Mus musculus: one gene and its partners. The protein of the gene in region 3 interacts with the protein of the main gene of each other region in a pairwise test. Links are inferred from orthologs where the notes say so. Each region holds a gene or a part of one and is shown on either strand. Other genes may lie near its edges. The genes, in order: Ccser2, Cep170 and Ndel1.

Region 1 (3,650 bases), on a different chromosome or scaffold from region 3:
ATAACAGTATCTGGTTTCTCCGTGCCACAGGCTTATATAGATATAGAAAGCTTTGCTGCCTGAAAGCCAGTTAGAATGTTATATATTTATAAACCAATTTGATTTGTGAGTATTTCTATTTCATAACCTAAATAATTACCCTGAGCCATTTTAACCACACCAGTTGCATTTTATTAGCGTGTCTGTATCTAAGTTGCTTGTAATGTTTTATAAAAGAACTATGCATTAATATGTGGTGGCACTTGTAGTTCCCTCTTTCCAGACACAGGGAGATTATTTTCCTATCCCCTTAGTACTTATGTGGGACCACAGACAAACTGATTTTCAAGTGTGAATGAAAACACCAGAGCCACTTGCAGGCCAAATTAGATACTGCAAGGGTGTGACTGACAGTCCTGTCTCCTTCTGTCTTGGTAATAAGGGCTTCAAAGACAAGGTCAAACCCAAAGCCAAAGCAGCTTAGGTCATTATAGGCAGCTGTCCTAGAGAGTCGCCCAGACCTACAAAAGACTTTGTTAAGAATAAAAGCCAAAACCTCCCACTGTATTAAAGGCACACTGGACTGGCGACAGAATGGTAGGTAGTCCATCAGCACAGCCTACCCAGATACTTGGTCCTGGATCAACTGGTCCATCAGTCCACCACTCTTTCTGTAGGAAGCGCATGTTAAGCACCATCCCTGACACCCCTTCACCAAGGGGCACTTCTCAATACAGCAACTAAAAGTGTTGTAGATGTCACGTTCTTAGCTTAACTTAACCAATACACTAATGCCTTTATAATAAATTATGTATGTGTGTATTTGTATGTGTTTGTATAAAGAAATAAAAAGAAATCTCCCAAAGGGTAGAGAAATCCATACATACTATGCTGTTCATTTCAGAGGACTCATAGCTGCCAACAGGATGGACACTCCCAATGGGCTCCAGGCCCTCTTCATCCCACATGTACGTTCCATCAGAGCTATCGGACGGAGAGAGTTCAAATGAAGACCCAGCTCTGTAATCCGTATCCGGTGAAATCAAGTTGTTTCCAGATGTATGCTTTGTACATTCACTCCTGTCTTCAAATGATTTTAAAAGAAAGAAAAAAGCGTGAATTTATAAAACACAGTCATTTCTCATTTCTAAAATATAAGCTCTAATAATCCAATCTATTATAACAGCATTTGGTTCAAAAACTATAACTGTAGCATTTTCCTAAATACTAAATAAACTTTTTTTTGGGGGGGAGGCAAAGTTTTCAAAATAAGCCACTAAAACATTTTGTAATAAACATAAAATTCACTCATTTTTTTACATCTTCACATTCCTTTACTATTTCTTAAGGTATTTATTTCATTTTAACCACTGTTTAGGAAACTCTCTTCCTCTCTACAGACTACTTAATCTCACAGATATGTCCTTAAAAGACAACTTGTTCTAGGCATCTTCCAGTTTATAATGCCTGAAGACAGTTTAGTGCATCACTATGAGTGAGCCAGTCCCTTGACTAGACATGCCTTTGTGCACTCCCTTTGGGCTTCTTTTTCTGGGTAGATGAACAAATGACATTCATCCTGCACTAAGTTCCAATATAGCCAAGTCTAATAGGCATTCACTCTCCCTCCTCGGTACCGTCAGTAAATAATGCTTCAGTGAGTAGTACCACATAAGGACTGCTAAACAGAACTGTTCCCGAGGATAGAAAGCTTTCAACTAAACAGGCTTATGTTATCTGACTTGTGTTTGATATAGCTTGACTCCTAGCAGACTGCAATGATGGCTACGGCGAATGGTGTGGTTTAGCGTTTAGTGGCAAGCCACTCCCAGGCAGAGTTGGGAAAACTGTCTGGAAACCATGGCCTACACAATGCAGGACTTGGCATGTATAAGACAGCTCCCAAAAAGGCAAAGTATAAAGAGTTTAACTGATTCTATCCTAGAAAATAATGCAAGATGGAAACAAGCCGCAAGGTTGCTGCTCTGCTGCGCTCTCCTCCAGCCTGAGCCGCCTCAGTCAAACAGCGTCTTACAGTCTATCAAGGCAAGGCTAAATGTTAGCTCTGCTGTAATCACCAGGGAAAGCACGGAAGTTAAGGATAGCCATATTTACCAGAGACACTTATATCTATCCACTCTTCAGCTTTACTGAAGGCCTGCTCACTTTCCTTAGGAGAATCAAATATATCCTTTGATGGTCTGCTCTCATGCTTTTCTTCTTTGAGAGTCATTTCCTCTGGCGTTATTCTAGTTCTGTTGGAGTCCTCTAAGTCTATGAAATCATCGCTGAAATCTTCACTTAAATCATTCTTGTCGGAAGACGACAAGGACGACAAGGAAATATCATCCACGTCATCGCTCAGGTACCTAACTTTAGACTCGTTCTTCCCAGTCTGGTCATTGTCTCTTCGGTAACTTTCATTTTCAATTAGTTCTTGGTCCTTACCCGGAGAGCTGTCCTGGGCTGAAACCATACCTTCTTCCTCTACGCACATGTCAGCAGGTGGGTTTTTATTACTGTCAACTGTCATGGGCCCAGAAAATGGAGGTCGGCTAGATTTCAGTAGAGGGGGATGAGCCATCCTATAAACCAACGTGGACGAGACAGCGGGGCCATTGGATAAGGCCAGTTTCTTTCCAGCAGCAGCATAAGGCCTATTAAAACCAAACCCCACATGTTCGTTCCCATTGAGTACTTCTGACTGCAGAGAACTTCTTGTTAGCATACCTGACCGGAGAGGCACTCGAACGGGGAGCTGTTGGTTCTGATAAGGCTTTGTAAGGTCTACAGCTCTGTTGAAGGAATGCGATCTGGTTATAGATGAAGGTGGAAGGAAGACATTCTGAATGGAATGTGAAAAACTTTGTGACCTTACCATTTTTTCACAAGTGATAGATTTAGCATTGTCTGGGGACTGTGCTAAGCTTTCTCCAGAACTACTTCTGCTGGCACAGGAGTTCACTCTTGGCTTCTGCACGTTACCAGAAGATCTGTTCCCATAAAACGCATTCAAATGTGACTTCGCATTGACCGAAGAATATGAAGTCCTTCCTAGTAATGTGCCTTTGGTAAATTTACCCAAATTAGATGGTCCAGAGAAAGATTTTTGACTTAACTCCTCTGCCGATGACACAAACATGGTTGATGGTCTTGCTAACTTGGATGTGAACAAGGAAGCACTTTTCAAACCTCCCTTTATCCCATGCCCATCCAGCGTTCCTGGAGCAGGTGCATGTTGTTCAGGCTCAATTAGTTTATCATGTGTACTTTGAATATTATTAAGTTCTGCTGTATTTTGTGAACCAAGTTGATATTTATTTGTTTTTCTCCAATTAAATGAATGGGACAATGAACAATCAGAGCCATTATTTTTTATGTAACTTTTGACATTACTACTCTTGGAGGTCCCTAATAAAGTCACAGTGGCGCCATTTGGCATCGGCTGCAATGTACTTCTCACAGATTTCATTCCATATTTCGGCAGCTTGGAACCCAAAAATGTCTTGATTTGTGTTTTTTCTTCCATGGGCTATAAGGTGCATTGGTTCTTAAAACTTGACAGAATCTGAGGGAAGAAAAAGATTAACATTTCTAAATAACATTAATAATGTGAAATATATTAATTACTTCCAGACAATTATCCATGACTCCTATACAAAATAAGCAAA
Region 2 (3,650 bases), on a different chromosome or scaffold from region 3:
AGCCAAGAACACTTACTGTCTGCTACTTTATAGAAAAATGCTGCTAGTTCCTCATACTGATAACTCGACTTCTTCAATTTATTAAATTATAAATAGTAACCAAAAATGCCTAGCCTTTTGGACATTTAATCCTGGCAAATTGTGCTGATAATCTTTTCTTCCATTGCTTTTTGTCTCATTTTTTTTTCTTATAAAGCTCCTTAATGGTCACTTCTTGTGTATTTTTTGTTTGTATGTTTTCTAATTTAATAAATGATATTTCATTAATTGTGTAGAGTTTTGTTACCACACTGATCAATTATAAATGTATATAAAAATTGTCTTTGTTGGTTAAAAAAAAACAAAACCAAGAGGATCTTCATGGTGGCAAGACATACACATGTCTCTGGTACATTTAAATGATATTATTTTCTCAGCTTTCTAACTGAATTGTACCTAACATGGTTATTCATTCACTGAGCCCTGGTAGAATTACTGAAACATTTCATGGAATAGACTTTCATTCCCCTTTTGTTTTATTTAAGACTGTTACCCTAGTTATTCTTTCGTCGGTAAACCTGTTACTTGGTGTTGCATGTCCATAGTCTGCACTGTAGATGGTAGGACATTAGTGCTACTGGCAGAAGATGTATGTTCTCTATCATTGTTAAAAGTTTGACTAAGACAAAATACTTACTATATGGATTAATTTTGTTTCCTTTTATAAATTTAATTGAATTTACCATTCATGTATCTTGTGAAGAAATTTAGCACCTGGATTTGGGGAGGAAAAAAGGAAAAAAAAACAAGATAGAAAACTAAAAGAAAAAGAAACAATATTTTGTGCTGGTAAGGCAGTATGAGTAAAGTGAACCCATTGTCCACTCCATGGCCCAGGGTTTTTCTCGTAAAGCATCTATTTTTTTTTTCCCTATGGAGAACATCATGAAAACAATTGTTAAATACTTTCAACCCTGAAAATAAGATTAGCATAGATGAACATCTACTTTATAGAAGAGACCTATTTGGCGTGCTTATTTAAAAAGTAATTGGTTTATTGAAGATGTCATGCTTCTGTTCGAGAATGAAATAATTTCTCTCTAATCATAAAAATTATAGTACCAGTATTTCTACACTTCTCACTATTCTGTTCTCATAAGGATTTACTTTTGTCCCACTAGTTGGTTGATCGTGTTTTTGATGAAAGTCTCAACTTCCGAAAGATACCTCCATTAGTTCATTCTAAAACACCAGAAGGAAACAACGGTCGGTCTGTTGACTCGAGGCCTCAGCCAGCCGAGCATCCTGATCACTTAACAATTACAAGACGGAGAACCTGGAGTAGGGATGAAGTAAGTAAACTGCAGACTTGGAACAGATGGCGAAGAGGCATCTCTGCTGTGCCATATTAGCTAATGTTAGGTTCCAGGTACTTCACGGGTACCAAATTCATTATTTTGTTATTAAAGAGAAAGAGTTGTTCAAACTAAACTAGTAATGGATACAAGTCAAGATTAATTCTAAGTTAACCTAAAAGCCAGTGTTTGTTAAAACTATTTAACTAATCCTTTAAAAAAATAAGGAACTTGAAAGATAGCCCAGCATTTAAGAGTTACTGCTGCTCTGGCCCAGGACTCAGGTTTGGCCTCTAGCCTCTAGTTTTACCCCATTCTGAACTGAGGCAATATCAACACCCATCATGACAATTTACTCCCTCACTTGTCTCTGAAGAGCTGGTGGTTGCTCTCTTTCTCATCTTTGTATTTGTATTATTTAGTAAATAAATAATATAGTACTCTACTTCCATTTTCCCTTTTATGATAATGTAAATTATATATATGAGAGGCAGAGTCATGATAGTAATTAAAGAGGATAAAATTGGTTGTTTTTAAAAATGGGATGACCAAAATAATAGGGAACATTGACAATTTTTTTTAACAAAGGAACTCTGTTGATGTTTCTTCTGCTCTCTGGAATAATTACATCATCCGTATATTTTAAGTTAAAATTAGCATCAATAGTTTGAGTATAGTGAATTGCTGCTAGTGTTCTTAGGAGTTATTCAATAACTATATGTTACTACACTTTTTCTCTGTTTCAGGTCATGGGAGATAATCTGCTATTGTCATCAGTCTTTCAGTTCTCTAGGAAGATTAGACAATCCATTGATAAAACAGCTGGGAAAATCAGGTACTTGTGTTTCTCTAATCTCTACTTCTTGTTTCCTGTCCATTCTCTTCAAACCTGTGGCCACTGCTGTGAGGAGCTAGAGACGTCACTGATGTGGGTTCTTACACTGCTCTTACCAGTTACTTCAGATATAAAGAGCACTAACACTTTCAGTTCCTAGTACTAAAACCATTTTCTTTCTTCACAAAATATTAGTAAATATTTTAAACTTAGCAAACTCTTGAGGTTTCTTTTATTCAGACTGGACTCTAGTGTCTTTGGATAAGGTGTTAGACTGAGCTGTTACGACTCTGGAAGTCTATGATGCAGCAGCCTTAAAGATTAAAATGTATGTAGACTGTTCAGCCATAGGTCCACATTCTTAATAAAAACAAGTAGCTACCAGGGCTGGTGATAGAGGCCAAAGCCTGTGACAGTTTAATCGCAGGGCCAACCTGTCACTTGTGAGGCCTTGCAATCGATTCCCAGCACAGAACATAAATAAGTAAATAAACAAATAATGTAATTTTTTTAAATCCCTATTTAAAGTGAGATTTGTACCATTTGCTTTCCTCTTTAATTTTAGTAGTGTTTAACAGTATGTGAGCCAGGTTCAAAACTCCAAATGTTTAAGATATATTTACATTATACATACACTATTTAGCATGCTATATGTATTTTTTTCTCCCTTTAAGTTCAAGTCTCAACAGACAGAATCCTGATCACTTGTTCTACATCTTGGGCTTTTTATTAACTGAATACCTTTACTTTTTCAAATGTATCTAAAATATTGATAGGTCCTTAGTATTTGCTTGAAATTGGGGCATACAGCCACCTGACTCACTGTTCACTTGTTGTGGAACCTGCTCACATTCCCAGCCAACTCCTCACCCCCACTCCCCACCCCCGTGGTTAGCTGTCACAAATCCCTATAACCCAGTGAAATCAAAACTATAGAGACTTGTAATTTATCAGTCAGATTTATATCAGTAAATTCTCAACCCACAAAATGAACTCAGAGCTAATTACTGATATAAGCTGCCCACCTAGATTGTACAAATTGTCCTATATTATTCTGTCCATTCTGAGATATTCATAGCTACCTGTGGCTACTGAAAGCCAGGTGGATTGGGTTTGTACTCTTGTTCTTCCATCTTCTCTGTCTTTTCTCTCTCTCCTGTCCTGTCTCTGAAACTCTCAGCCCCACCTTCCTTTTTCATTGTCCAATCATAGACTCTAGTCTTATATTACTCCTGCGCTCACCTGCATATTGACAGCAATCGACATTTTAGTACCTATTGAGTTATGTTTTTAATAGATTTTCACAAGCTTGAATCAATAGTGTTCACTATTATACATCTGAGTTCATTGAATGATTATTTTTCTTAATATAGTTTTGAAATTACACAAACTATGTATGTAGTTTTTGATATCATCAACAAAACCATGAACTTGAAATGCTTGTGTTTTTTGACTGTAGAATATTGTTTAAAGACAAAGAC
Region 3 (4,403 bases):
AAAATTAAATATAATAAATATATCTACTTTTTAAAAGAACAAATCTGAGGGGACTAGAAAAGTGGCTCAGTGGCTCTTGCAGAAGACTAGAATATGGTTCCCCGCACCAACACAGGGCAACTCCCTCCCTCTAGCTCTAGCTCTTCTTCTGGCCTCTGCAGCCACCCACATTCACACATATAACACTCACACACAGAAATAAGGTTTTAAAAGAAAATTAATTTAGCCAGAAAAATCAGCATGCAAAGCTCAGGCCCTAGAGTCAAACTATGGCCTGGCTGAGAGACCTTGGGCAAGCTATTCAACTTCTCAGTGCCTCATTTCCTCACCTATAAAACAGGAAGATCAGTTGTATTTGGAAGATGAGGTGAGTTACTATTGGCACAGTACGTGTAACAGAGCCTGATGCATAAACATCACATAAATGTTAATTCAACTCTAAGAAACTACTAGGCCAGAAGTGGACCTTTAAGTTAGACCAGAGTAAACAGACTTCCAAATTTATAAGCAGATGACTCCTTTCATTACAAAAGCATCCCTAACGTCTCTCCTGGAACAAGCTTTATGCGCTAGACTAAAACAAGTTCTTTCCCTCCCATCACACGCTGTATCTGTTGCTTCCCGCCTGGCAGTACCCAGCTTTATCCCTACACCTATTCATCAACTTCATCCTTCTAAGAACCAGGTTCAAGTAACGAATGTGCTACCCTTGCAGGTGATCTCAAAACTGTGTGTGTGGAGTTTGCCTCCAGGTACTCGGAGAGGCTCACTGTCGCTTGAGATTACGTAAGTGGGGAAAGTTAGCCAATGTCAAATCTTTCACTGATTTAAAAAGTGCTCAAATGGCATATCTACAATCTTCTACAGCTGCAAGGCTAGCAGACAAGGACTTTCTGCTCCTCTCCATCTTCCTTAATTCTAGGTCTCACATGGAGTGTGAGTGTACAATTACAACTTCTGCAGCAGACATGCTCACACTCTACGACCTTTAGATGTGAACAACTGACAATTAGCTCACTGAAACTTTAAACAGTTATCATCTAACAGAGCTTACTGGCAAAGATACTCTGTACAGCACTAAGAAAATTAATTTTACATGACTATTAACATATATGCAGAATGAAATAGGCCTTATTTCTCTCCCTTATGAAGTGCCTAGAAAGTAATTTTAACTTAAGTCCTCAATCCTCAAGTCTATTTTAGCATGGTTTAAAATACGCATGAAAATAAATTTTGTTGGTCTCATAAAAGCATGTTCAGGTCTATTTTTTATTTCAAATGCTCTGGATCCAACTTCAATTCAATTCAAAACCAAGGCACTGCAGATTTAGCAACTTCTTCTAAGATTAAGTTTGTCTCTAACTGGAGCTAAAGGTTTTCTTTGTTCTTTATGTATTCCTACTCTAAGATTTTAACAACAATTCAGAAGAGATACCCCCAACTGGGTGTCCTTTGGTCTCTTTTGACTCCTTAACTTAATGATGAGCTTTGCCCTCTCAGCTTTCTGATTTGGCAGACATTACCCTACCTCTTAAGTGCAGTGAAAGCAACATAATTTTCAGACTAACAACCAGCCACTCATGAGCAAGCTTCAGGATAAGATTTTTCTAGTAACTGAGCTTTTGGGGGTTTTTTGTTTGTTGTTGTTGTTTGGTTTGGGGTTTTTTTGGTTTTTTTGGTCAATTTACTCGAAAATAAATAAGTCATCTAGTAACTTCTGGTATTATCTTTAACAAGTCCAATGTTCAGTCCTCTTTCCGGCTGAAGAAGTTAAAAAAAAAAAATCTCATGAAAACAGAAACCAGAACCCTGAGCTTAGAAAGGTAAATTGTAACCCAAGCTAAACTTCTCACCAGTTAGTGGAACCCAAATAAAAATCACTCAGTTGCCCCAACCTCCTGTACCTAGGTTCAATTTCCCCATCCAGCAAAAAGTGACTTACAGTATCCGTCGCAAGTACAAACAGCAAATGTTCTAAAATGTTTACAAACGCTACAGGAATGGGCCCGGGTAATGAAAAGGACCCTCACTCGCCTTAAACTTAAAAGTGTTAGTCACCTCATCGTTTCTCAGAGAAAAATAAGAAGCGAATCCAAGCAACCGGGGTCGGTTGGTTAGTGAGACTTTCCCCAACTCCAAAGAGGATGATTAGCAGTTCGGGGCAGGCAGTCACGAGACTGCCAGTCTCTGCCAACGCGGGCTGCTCCTGCTCTCGCCTCCCGCATCTGGGGCGCTGGGAAATCAAGATCCTGCCCGGCTCCTAACCACCCCGGCAGCTCCAGGGAATCAAGGATGGGTGGAGCGAGAAGCTGGGCGCGCCTCCGCCACCCCAACTGGGCCACTCCTCGAGCCGTCAGCGCCTCAGCCCCCGGTGCCACGTCCCGGCCTCCGTCCCTCCTCTGGAAGCCCGGGACTCGCTCTCCCGCAGGTGCCCCCGGTGGGCCACACCTCCGCCAGTAAGGAGGGGACAGTTAAAGCGGTTGGAACAGTTGTCTCGGTACGGGCCGCCCCAGAACCCAAGCCCGGCCTGGCCCAGCGGGCTGAGCCCCAGCCCGGCGGCGGTCAGGCAGGCTCCCCCGGGGCAGGCCTCGGCGCTGCCCGCCTGGCTCGAACCCCAGAGGCTGCGTCGCACGGGAGCTCACCGCCAATGTGTCAAAAGCGCATGTTCGCCGCCGCTCGGCCGACGTCTCTGCTCCGCTGGCCTGGCCAGGCCCGCCCAGCCGCTCAGCTCTGCTCCCTTCCGCAGCCCTGAGCTCCACTCCGCGTATCCCCGCACCGGGCTCCTCCCCGACACGTCAGGGGCTCCCTGGGTGTCGGAGGCCATTCTGTGACGCACGGGGGCGGAGTCAAGAGCATGCGCAGAAGCAGGCTGGCGTGCGGGGCGGAGCGGTGGGAGGCCAGAGTCACGTGGAGCCGACCTAGGCTTTGCGCGCTGACGTGAGATCTGCGACAGCGTCCTGCGCAGGCGCCGCCCCGGACCCCCGAAGGAGGTGGGTTTTTTAGCCCTGTGCTGTCTCCGGAAGCTGTGCTGCGCAGGAGAGTAGTTCCCTAGGCTAAAATGGGAAGCCAGTATAAAGCCAGTATAGAGTACTAGCTCACGAAGGAGACAGGAGAAATACACAACTGTCCTGGAACTAGAAACTTAAATTTAAAAAAGGCATTTGGGGAACAACTATAGGAACTTTAGCTGTCTCATGCTCAATGTAATTGTTATTTCAGTGCTGTTGGGATTGGTTTTGAAGTTTGAAGACAAAACAACATAGCATAAGACATATGCTGAGCCTAAGAAAGACAAGGTGAGCCCACGTATACGGTTGGGAAAGGTCAATATAAACAAAAAACGGTGCGAGATGGATTTTTAAGGAGAACCCAAACTGATGAGCAGAGGAAGATTACTGGGGTCTAGAGCGTCTTGAACTACACTATGAAGGATATAGGGTTTTTAAAAAGAGATTATGAGTTCACTGTGCGGTTTGTCGCGCCCGTAGTTGTACCAGTCACTGGGGTGCATTGCTTTGTCACAGTAACCCCACGTCACTCTCATTTACAAGTAAGAAATAGCAAGATGAAGTTCCCCAAGGTCACTCACCTACAGCGCAAATTCAAACTCAGAAGCTACACTGTTATCCACTACTACGCTGACAAGAAGGGAAACATAGGCTAGACCGTGGGGCTAAAGTGCCTTCCATACACTACTGTTAACCATCAACAACATTTGAAGCTGGAATCATTAGATCTATATTGTAACATAAGACTCAAAAAAAAAAAAAAAAAAGGTCTGCTTTACAGGCCAGTGGCCTGGAACAGCTTTGAAACTCAGTCTGGCTTCCCTACCTGAAACTCTGCTCAATCTAATCAGACTTAAGGCAGAGAAGTGATTAATGAAGGCTTTCCTATAGACCCGGTGCCAAGACAGGAACCGTCCCACCCAAACAGGAAAAGATAAAAAGGCCACAGCTTCTGTCCTGCCTCCTGGCTGAGGTGCTAAGAAACACACTGAGTCACCTAATGGCTGGCCAGGCCCTTCAGAAAACAGTGACATCATCTCCCAGGCTGCTGCCCCTCCCATTTGCTCTGCCCCTAGGACTGGCATCATCCCCTTCTTAATGAATGGGCTTAGCTTGGCAGAGCCCTCAGAAGCCAAAGGCCCTGCTCTGATCTTCGTTGGCCCAGAGGCTGGAATAGTACCCTAGAGTCAGCAAACTGCCCGACCTCCTTCCATTACACCAAATCCATGGGAAATAAATCAGTAAAGAAGATGACAGTCTCAAAAGGAAGCACAAGTTATAAAACTAGCATTGTAAGAGAAGAAAAGGTGAGAGCTGCTGTACCCTTCAAACTTTGTAAAGCATTCCAGGGCACTTCCCATAGGTTCCAGTACAAGGTCCTTTTTGGACTGACCC

The links.
Region 1: the proteins of Ndel1 (region 3) and Ccser2 interact in binary tests that used the Homo sapiens proteins (3 or more experiments, as listed by UniProt). The link is inferred for Mus musculus from reciprocal best matches to the Homo sapiens genes NDEL1 and CCSER2.
Region 2: the proteins of Ndel1 (region 3) and Cep170 interact in a two-hybrid assay, tested with the Homo sapiens proteins (2 studies listed by BioGRID and IntAct). The link is inferred for Mus musculus from reciprocal best matches to the Homo sapiens genes NDEL1 and CEP170.

The regions. Positions count from the first base shown.
Region 1 is NC_000080.6:36,937,718-36,941,367, forward strand, and holds part of Ccser2 (serine-rich coiled-coil domain-containing protein 2), read right to left. Parts: intron 3,548-3,650; 5' UTR 3,509-3,547; coding exon 2,095-3,508; intron 1,064-2,094; coding exon 867-1,063; intron 1-866. UniProt on the Homo sapiens protein: Microtubule-binding protein which might play a role in microtubule bundling.
Region 2 is NC_000067.6:176,737,600-176,741,249, reverse strand, and holds part of Cep170 (centrosomal protein of 170 kDa), read left to right. Parts: intron 1-1,160; coding exon 1,161-1,331; intron 1,332-2,080; coding exon 2,081-2,169; intron 2,170-3,628; coding exon 3,629-3,650.
Region 3 is NC_000077.6:68,850,300-68,854,702, forward strand, and holds the start of Ndel1 (nuclear distribution protein nudE-like 1), read right to left. Parts: upstream 2,837-4,403; 5' UTR 2,643-2,836; exon of another isoform or gene 2,059-2,642; intron 1-2,058. UniProt on the Homo sapiens protein: Required for organization of the cellular microtubule array and microtubule anchoring at the centrosome. May regulate microtubule organization at least in part by targeting the microtubule severing protein KATNA1 to the centrosome.